Callithrix jacchus: one gene and its partner. The protein of the gene in region 2 interacts with the protein of the main gene of each other region in a biochemical or structural test. Links are inferred from orthologs where the notes say so. Each region holds a gene or a part of one and is shown on either strand. Other genes may lie near its edges.

Evidence for each region.
Region 1: the proteins of TNNI1 (region 2) and TNNC1 are reported together in a solved structure, tested with the Homo sapiens proteins (2 studies listed by BioGRID, with this or other methods). The link is inferred for Callithrix jacchus from reciprocal best matches to the Homo sapiens genes TNNI1 and TNNC1.

Annotation. Positions count from the first base shown.
Region 1 is NC_133516.1:34,981,932-34,986,212, forward strand, and holds the start of TNNC1 (troponin C, slow skeletal and cardiac muscles), read right to left. Parts: upstream 2,890-4,281; 5' UTR 2,864-2,889; coding exon 2,840-2,863; intron 1,321-2,839; coding exon 1,290-1,320; intron 1,044-1,289; coding exon 897-1,043; intron 656-896; coding exon 541-655; intron 325-540; coding exon 188-324; intron 106-187; coding exon 74-105; 3' UTR 1-73. UniProt on the Homo sapiens protein: Troponin is the central regulatory protein of striated muscle contraction. Tn consists of three components: Tn-I which is the inhibitor of actomyosin ATPase, Tn-T which contains the binding site for tropomyosin and Tn-C.
Region 2 is NC_133520.1:28,425,286-28,428,284, forward strand, and holds the end of TNNI1 (troponin I, slow skeletal muscle), read right to left. Parts: coding exon 2,884-2,999; intron 1,997-2,883; coding exon 1,889-1,996; 3' UTR 1,887-1,888; intron 816-1,886; 3' UTR 647-815; downstream 1-646. UniProt on the Homo sapiens protein: Troponin I is the inhibitory subunit of troponin, the thin filament regulatory complex which confers calcium-sensitivity to striated muscle actomyosin ATPase activity.

The DNA of each region.
Region 1 (4,281 bases), on a different chromosome or scaffold from region 2:
ACCCGCTCCCCAGCCCCAGGACTCGGCTGGAGTTGAAGGCTGGGCATGGGCAGCTCTGGGTGAAGGTCGGCATCTACTCCACACCCTTCATGAACTCCAGGAACTCTGTGGAAAGAGGGGCAGGTGTGGGTCAGGGGTGGGGCTGGCAGGGCACAGTGGCAGGGGATCAGCCCACCCACCCGCTTACCGTCGTAGTCGATGCGGCCGTCGTTGTTCTTGTCTCCATCCTTCATGAGCTCCTCGATGTCGTCCTCCGTGATGGTCTCACCTGTCGCCTGCAGCATCATCTTCAGCTCCTCCAGGTCAATGTAGCCATCAGTGTTTCTGTGGGGAGGGGGCCCAGGGTAGGGCTGCAGGGAGGGCAAGAGGGACCACAACCATGCCCCCTAGGAAGAACAGGGACGCTGGGAGATGGGGCATCCCTCTCCCCCATCAAGCAGAGGCTGCAGGGTCCCTAGGCCTAGAATCTGAGACTGCCCTCCTAACCCCAGCTGGGCTTGAGTGAGGGTCAAGGTCAGGGGTCAAGGGTCACGTGCTCACTTGTCAAACATGCGGAAGAGGTCAGACAGCTCCTCCTCAGATTTCCCTTTGCTGTCGTCCTTCATGCACCGAACCATCATGACCAGGAACTCATCAAAGTCCACTGTGCCACTGCCTGGGAGGCAGTTACAGAGGCCAGGTTGGAAACTGCAGGTGACTCAAGCCCAAAGAGTGGCCACAGAAGCCTGGCATTTGGTGTGAGGATGCAAATGCCAGGCTTCTGTGGCCATTATGCCCATTTTCTAGATGAAGCAACTGAGGATCGGAGGGGCTAAACCACTTCCGGCTAAGCAGAGCCAGCATCCCAGCCCCACGCTGGCTGGGCTTCCTCTAGAGCCTGGGGAGGAGGGGCTCACCATCCTCGTCCACCTCGTCGATCATCTCCTGCAGCTCCTCAGGGGTGGGGTTCTGGCCCAGCATCCTCATCACCTTGCCCAGCTCCTTGGTGCTGATGCAGCCATCCTCAGCGCCCAGCACGAAGATGTCGAAGGCTGCCTTGAATTCTGTGTACAGAGGTTGGGGGGCACAATAGCCAGGGCTCAACAGCCAGGACCTCAGAGGGCCAGACTCCTGGGGCCACCTGCCAACCTGCCCACCTCCCTCAGAGACCTCTCTGAGATCAGAGCAGAGGGACCTAGCCTTTGGTCTCTGGTCTGTGCTCCTCTTCTGGTAAGGGGTCCCCACGTTCCCCAGCCTGGTCTCCCAACCTGGCCCTGGTGGTCTCCCGCACGTGTGATAGGGGTTCTCACCATTTTTCTGCTCTTCTGTCAGCTGCTCTACCTAGAAAGGAAAGGGACTCTCAGGGCTCAGCCTCACACATAGCTGCTGCTGCTGAAACCAACCCATTCCACAGGTGAGAGCTGCAGCTGGGGAAAGCAAGCTATTTCCAGGCCACAGAACAGAGGTCTCAGTCCTCCCTCCCTCCCCACAAAGCCCTGATGTGCCCCAGCTAGCCTCACTAAGACTGGGCTCAGGGCCAGTGTGACAGGTGGGCACCCCCTTCAGGGCCAAGGTGACCCTCAGTAACAATAGTCAGTGACCACTCAATACCCTTTTGGCCCGTGATGAAACTCAAGCTGGGTGGCCCAAGGAACAGCTGTCCCTCAAGTTGGGACAATAAACCAATGTGGGGGTAGACAAGCTACCCACTGTAACCTGACCAGGGTGGCCACTGGGCTATTTTTAACGAGGAACAAAGTTAAACCTGGTGATTGTTCTGGGGACTTTGGCATGCAGGGGGTGGGGCAGTGTTATCTGGCCCCCTGTCCTACTAGTGCCGCCTCAGGAGCCAAAATTAGTCCCCAGCTCCGCCAGGCCTTGTATGGGCACTGGGTGGAGGGCTGCCCCCACCCCAGCTTCATGGACTCCCACAGGATAAGCAGGCATGCCCCCAGAGCTGGCTGTAGCCCTTCCCTGCCCAGAAGTGAGGGAGGCTGAGGGAGGGGTTCCCCTGGGGACAGCTACCCAGGCCAGGATGTCCTTGTTCTGGGGTAGTGGGAGGTCACCAGCATCCAGGAATGGAACAGCATCTCAAGTCCCTCAGTGACCCAGGAGGCTGCAGGGGCTTGGGGTGACCACTCTCTAGCCCTCATTCCCTCATTCTCACCCCCAGCTAAGCCACTGAGCCCTGAGCCTGCCAGGCACGATGGGGGCTGGGGCCTCAGTTCTCTGTCCCTTCTTCCTTGGTTCTCCCTCATGTCCAAAACTTCCCTGCCTCGAACTTCAAAGCCCCATCTCCAGCCCAGGACTCAGGCCCCTCCCCTCACACCCTCCACCCTCCAAAGCATCTTCGACCAACCAAAGGGCTGGAGTGGAGTGGCAGATTGTGAGTGTGTGAGAAGCAGAATGTGAGGGGCAGAAATGGAGGTTGGGGACAGGGAGACAGTAATAGGGACTCAGAGAGACAACTTAGGAGGAAGAGAGATGAAAAAAGAAAGGCAAAAATGTCCAGAGACAAATGCAGAGACATGTGGCTGAGAGACAGTGCCACAGACTACAGACACTTAGAAACAGAGTGAGACATGATGCTGAAAGTGGCGACCTCCTCCACCACCCTTCAGACCTCAACTCCCACCCCTTCTGCATCTCCAAACACCAGCTTCCCTTCAGACCCTGAGCCCCTACCCCTTCTGCATCTTCAAACATCAGAACCACTGTCCCTGTGAGGGCCTGGGTTGAAGGTACAGAGACTCTCTCCTGGGCCCCCACCGCTTCCTTGGGGCTACCAGCCCCCCATTCTGAGATGAGTGAGCCCCCAGTGGGCCTGCCCAACCCAGCCCTACCCAGCCCTGTCCCTCACCGCAGCCTTGTAGATGTCATCCATGCTGGTGGGTCACACGACAGCCTGCTGGGGTTGCCAGCCGGCCCTCGACTTAAATAGCCCTGCCCCCCCCCCCACACTGCATTCCCAGCCAGCCCAGCCCAGCCCACCCCTGCGTGTAGTATCCTCCAGCCCCTCCTCTGGGCCCAGTGATGTCAGGCTGGCCTGAGTCCCTGCGTCCTCTGCCCAAGGCAGGGAGCAGATGAAGTGCTACAAGAACCAGGTTTCTTTCGCTCCTGTCCCCCACACTCCCCAAGGGACTCTGAAAAGGTTTCTGGAATGAATGAAAGCATGAGCCCAGGGCAGGACAGGAGCCACAAAGTAGTGGGCCCCAGGCAAGGCCCCTGCAACACAGCAGCCCAGGCTCCCACCAACCAGGGAGGCCGGTGCTATGACCCCTACCTTCCAGATAAGGAAGCTGAGGCTCTGGAAGAGTGGTGGCTTGCCCAAGATAGCCCCTGCCTTTAACTCAGCCTCTCTGGAATGGGGTGCAACGTGCAAGTGGGGGTTGGGAGTACAGGGCCCTGCCAAGATAAGCCTCAAATCCCAAGCTCAGAGGACGATGCTAACCCACCTTAGGGCAGGGTAGTCAGGAGCCCTTCTGCCAGAGGCGCCTGCCCCAGACCTTCCATCTGCCCAGGGAGAAGTGCCCCCTTCGGGCTTCAGTCAGCTGTTCTGTAATTCAACAGCACCCCCACAGATGCCCCATCTGTGCCAGGCTCTCTCCCTCCTCACCCTCCAGTCAGGTTACCACCTCCCTCTTCTAGGTCTCATCTTCCCCTGGTTTAGGACTCAGTTCCCTATTCTAGCACTGTAGTTCGTGGGTCCAGGTCAACGTGTCTCCCTCCTGTTTTGAACTCTGACAGGCCATCCCGTGAGGTTCCTGTACCCATTGGCAGCACACACCCCTCCCACCTCCGTCTCCGCCCTCCTTCGTACAGAGCCCCGTCTTGATAAACACGTTCCTTGCTTCCAGCACTACTGCATGCCAGGCCCCGCATGAATCAACCCACTCCGTTGTCAAGAAGCCCCACTGACAAGAGCTCTCCGAGTCTCGGAGAGGTTCAGAACCGGCCCAGAATCACTCTCGCCCTACTCCAGCGATAAGCACAGGTTCTATTTCCACCTCCAGCCCGTCTTGCCCTAAAGAGAAAGAGCCCAACAGCCAAGTGAGGCGCCATTATGGCCTCCTTTATCCGGAGGAGTAAACTGAGGCCAGGAGGAGCAGTGACTTGCTTCGTGTTGCCTGGAGGCTCGGGACCTTCTGTCCTCTCTTCCTGAGAGACTAAGGGGCGATTCCCAGAGCGGTCACCACCCGAGAGGTCAGTTTCTAGCAGGCTGCGCAGGGTACCGTTGGTGGCCCCACGCAGGTAGAGATTACGCAAGAAAGCGCTGCGCACGCGCGCCGTGGGCGGTGCCTG
Region 2 (2,999 bases):
GTGCCACAGGGCCAGGTGAGGGATTGAAAGTGCTCTGACCAGAACACTTTCAGGTACAGCCAGCAGGCATCAGGGAGAGATAATCCAGGTTTGCGGAGGAAGGAGAGCATGAAACCCGGCAGGAGAAGCAGCTCTGAATAGACAGGCCTCTCCTGACGGCCAGAATCAGGGGCAGGACTGGGTCAGTTCTCGGAGGTCAGGGCTCTGGTGAGCTGAGCACCCTGGGTGGTTAATGTGTGCTGTGTAATGTCACAGGGACTGGGCAGAAGGGGATCCGGGCACCCTGGCAAGCAGCCACCAATTCCTTAGCCCTCCCTTCAGATCCCGAGCTCCAGATGCAGACAGAGTGACTGGAGCCCAGCGCAGCCCTCTCTTCACAAGCCCCACACCTTCCCTTTCTTCTCAGTGCTCTCAGTCAGAGCTGCAGAAATGACCAGGAAACTGGGTTTTTAATGAAGAGGCTGAGATGCCTGTGGACACTGTACACGTCATAGAAGGGGTGTGGCACGGGGCTGGAAGAAAGCTGCTCTCACTCCCGCCTCTTCCTCCACTTGTGACACCATGGGGTGGCCAGGAAACCCCAGGTGCCTCATGGGTGGATGGAAGCCCACTCTGCTGGGGTGAGGTCTTCAGACACTCGTGTTTGTCCTGCCTCTTGGGTATCTGTGAATTCCCAGTTCCAGAGGAGGGCATGCAGGCTGGAGGGAAGAAGTGGGGGTGGGGCAGGATGCTCTGGACACGGGCAGAGAGGTGAGTGAGCTGGGTTGGAGAAGAAGCATGAAGCAGGAGCCCAGAGCGCAGCACAGCAAGCTGGCCTGTAGGGACAGAGAGGCGAAGCCATCAGTTCCCGCAGACCTGTGTGCAGCGCATGAATCCCTGACTTACCTACAGCACATGCAGTCCCAGGGCTTCTCACACCTAGCACACCCCTGGCCAGATCTTCATTTGTAGGAGCTCCTACAAAACCTCAGCTTCTCAGTCCGTGGGCACAGTCCGTGGGCACAGTTCTCCACCTTTTAGGACCCCTCACACCGCTCCTCCACACTGTGGCCTCAGCTTTTACCTGGCCTTACCATGCTACGCCGTGGCTGCTTAATTCCCAACTCCATGCTTCTGTGGCACCATCAGCCCTTGGACGTGCCCTTCCCCTTACCAGTTAACCCATCACGTCCTCAGAGACTCCTCCTCTCCAGAGCGCCTGCTCTGACCAATGCTATCTGGTGGATGCCTGCCCTATTGCACGTTGTCTCAGCACTTCCATAGAGGGCTTCATGTGGCCTAATTTCCTTGCTTTGCTCAGTTTTCCCAGCTATTTCCTCAGGGGGTGAGAAGCCTTAGCTTCTCTGAGTGGTAGCTCCTTGGGAACAGGTACTGTGACTGCTGGGTACTTTGCAGGGAGCACAAATAAAGGACATCACCAGGAGATGTTTAAAAGAGCATAGATTTTCAGAAAGTCAGAGAAGGAGGGACCCCAAGGATCCTCTAATCTAGTGGTTCTCAAACTCTCGTGTGCATCACAGTCACCTAGAAGGCTGGCCTCACCCCAGAGTTTCCAATTTAGTGGATCTGGGGTGGGGGCTGATCATTTGCATCCCAGGTGGTAAAGATGCTGCTGGTCCCAGGACCACACTTGGAGAACCACTGATTTGATACAGCCCCCAATTTCATAGACGTGGGGAACAAATAGCACCCCCAAACAGAAATGACATGCCCAAGGTATCACGGTGCTGGAGCCAGGACTGAGCCCAGCTAGCTGGCCCTCATCAGTCTCATCGGTGCCTTCCCCCCTGCACCACACTGGGTACAACCCGCCTGCTGACTGCAGACTCCGACATTATCCTCTAGACTCTGCTGGACCCCAGAGAAGGGAGCTGGTCTCTAGGTACCTCTATTGTGAGGTTGGAGACTTGGCAGCATCAAACATCTTCTTCCGGCCTTCCATCCCAGACATGGCCTCCACATTCTTCCTCCAGTCACCCACCTCCACAGGCCGCTCCTGTGGATGACACAGCAGGGACTTACCAGGCTGGACAGCCCCACAGCTCAAGAGAAGCTGGGTCATAGAAAACCACTCTCCTCGGATGATAAGAAATCCTGACACCCCTCCCCAGCTGGTAAGGTCCTAGGACTCTGCCAGGCAGGTGGACGTGGGCCAAGCTGAGGCCCCACAGGAAAAGGGCAGCTGTGTGGCTTGGGAGCACTGGGTGATAGTGGCAGCTACGGGGCCAGTTCCCACCTCGGTGCACCTCAGGGAAAACTCCTCCAAGGCCCCACGCCACCCTCCTGGTCTGGCAGTCTGCAGGCTCAAGGCAACCTCTTCCGAGAAGCCTTCCCTGCTAAGGTGGCGGCCTTCCCACTCCCTCAGTACACTGCCCGGCTCACGTCTTCTCCTCTGAAGCTTCTTGGAGACTGTGTTCCTGTCATCCCTGTTTCTTACAGAGCCTATCAGTTTGGAGCACATATACCGTGAGTTCAACCAAACTGAGTAATTTGCTGCTGGGTGGTTGAGCTCAGTACTCTAATATCTGTGCTTGTGTATAAGCTGCTGTCTCCCTTCCCTGTGGTGACCTGGGAGTTGTCTCCACCATTACCCTAAATCTCCACGTTCTCTTCACATTGGACAAGGTTTTTACTTCATTTCTCTGTCTGGGGTCTAGCTTTCTTGGTGTCCCATTTCTTCATCAGACTGGGGGCAGCCTGAAGGAAGGGAGCAAGTCTTTCTTTTTTCTTCCTACACTGGTCTCCCAAAGGGTTCTAGAATGTTCTGTCAAGCTGACTGGCCTCTAGCAGGAGCTCCTGGGCCTGGCTGAGGCTGGGTGAGGGTCTGACAAGGGGAAAACTGGCAAGGTGGGGTGTGGAAGGTTCTGGGGAAAGGGGCCTCACCTTCTCTGTGTCTTCCTTCTTCACAGACTTGAGGTTGGCCCGCAGATCCATGGACACCTTGTGCTTGGAGCCCAGCAGGGCCCGGAGCATGGCGTCAGCCGAGACGCGGACCCGAC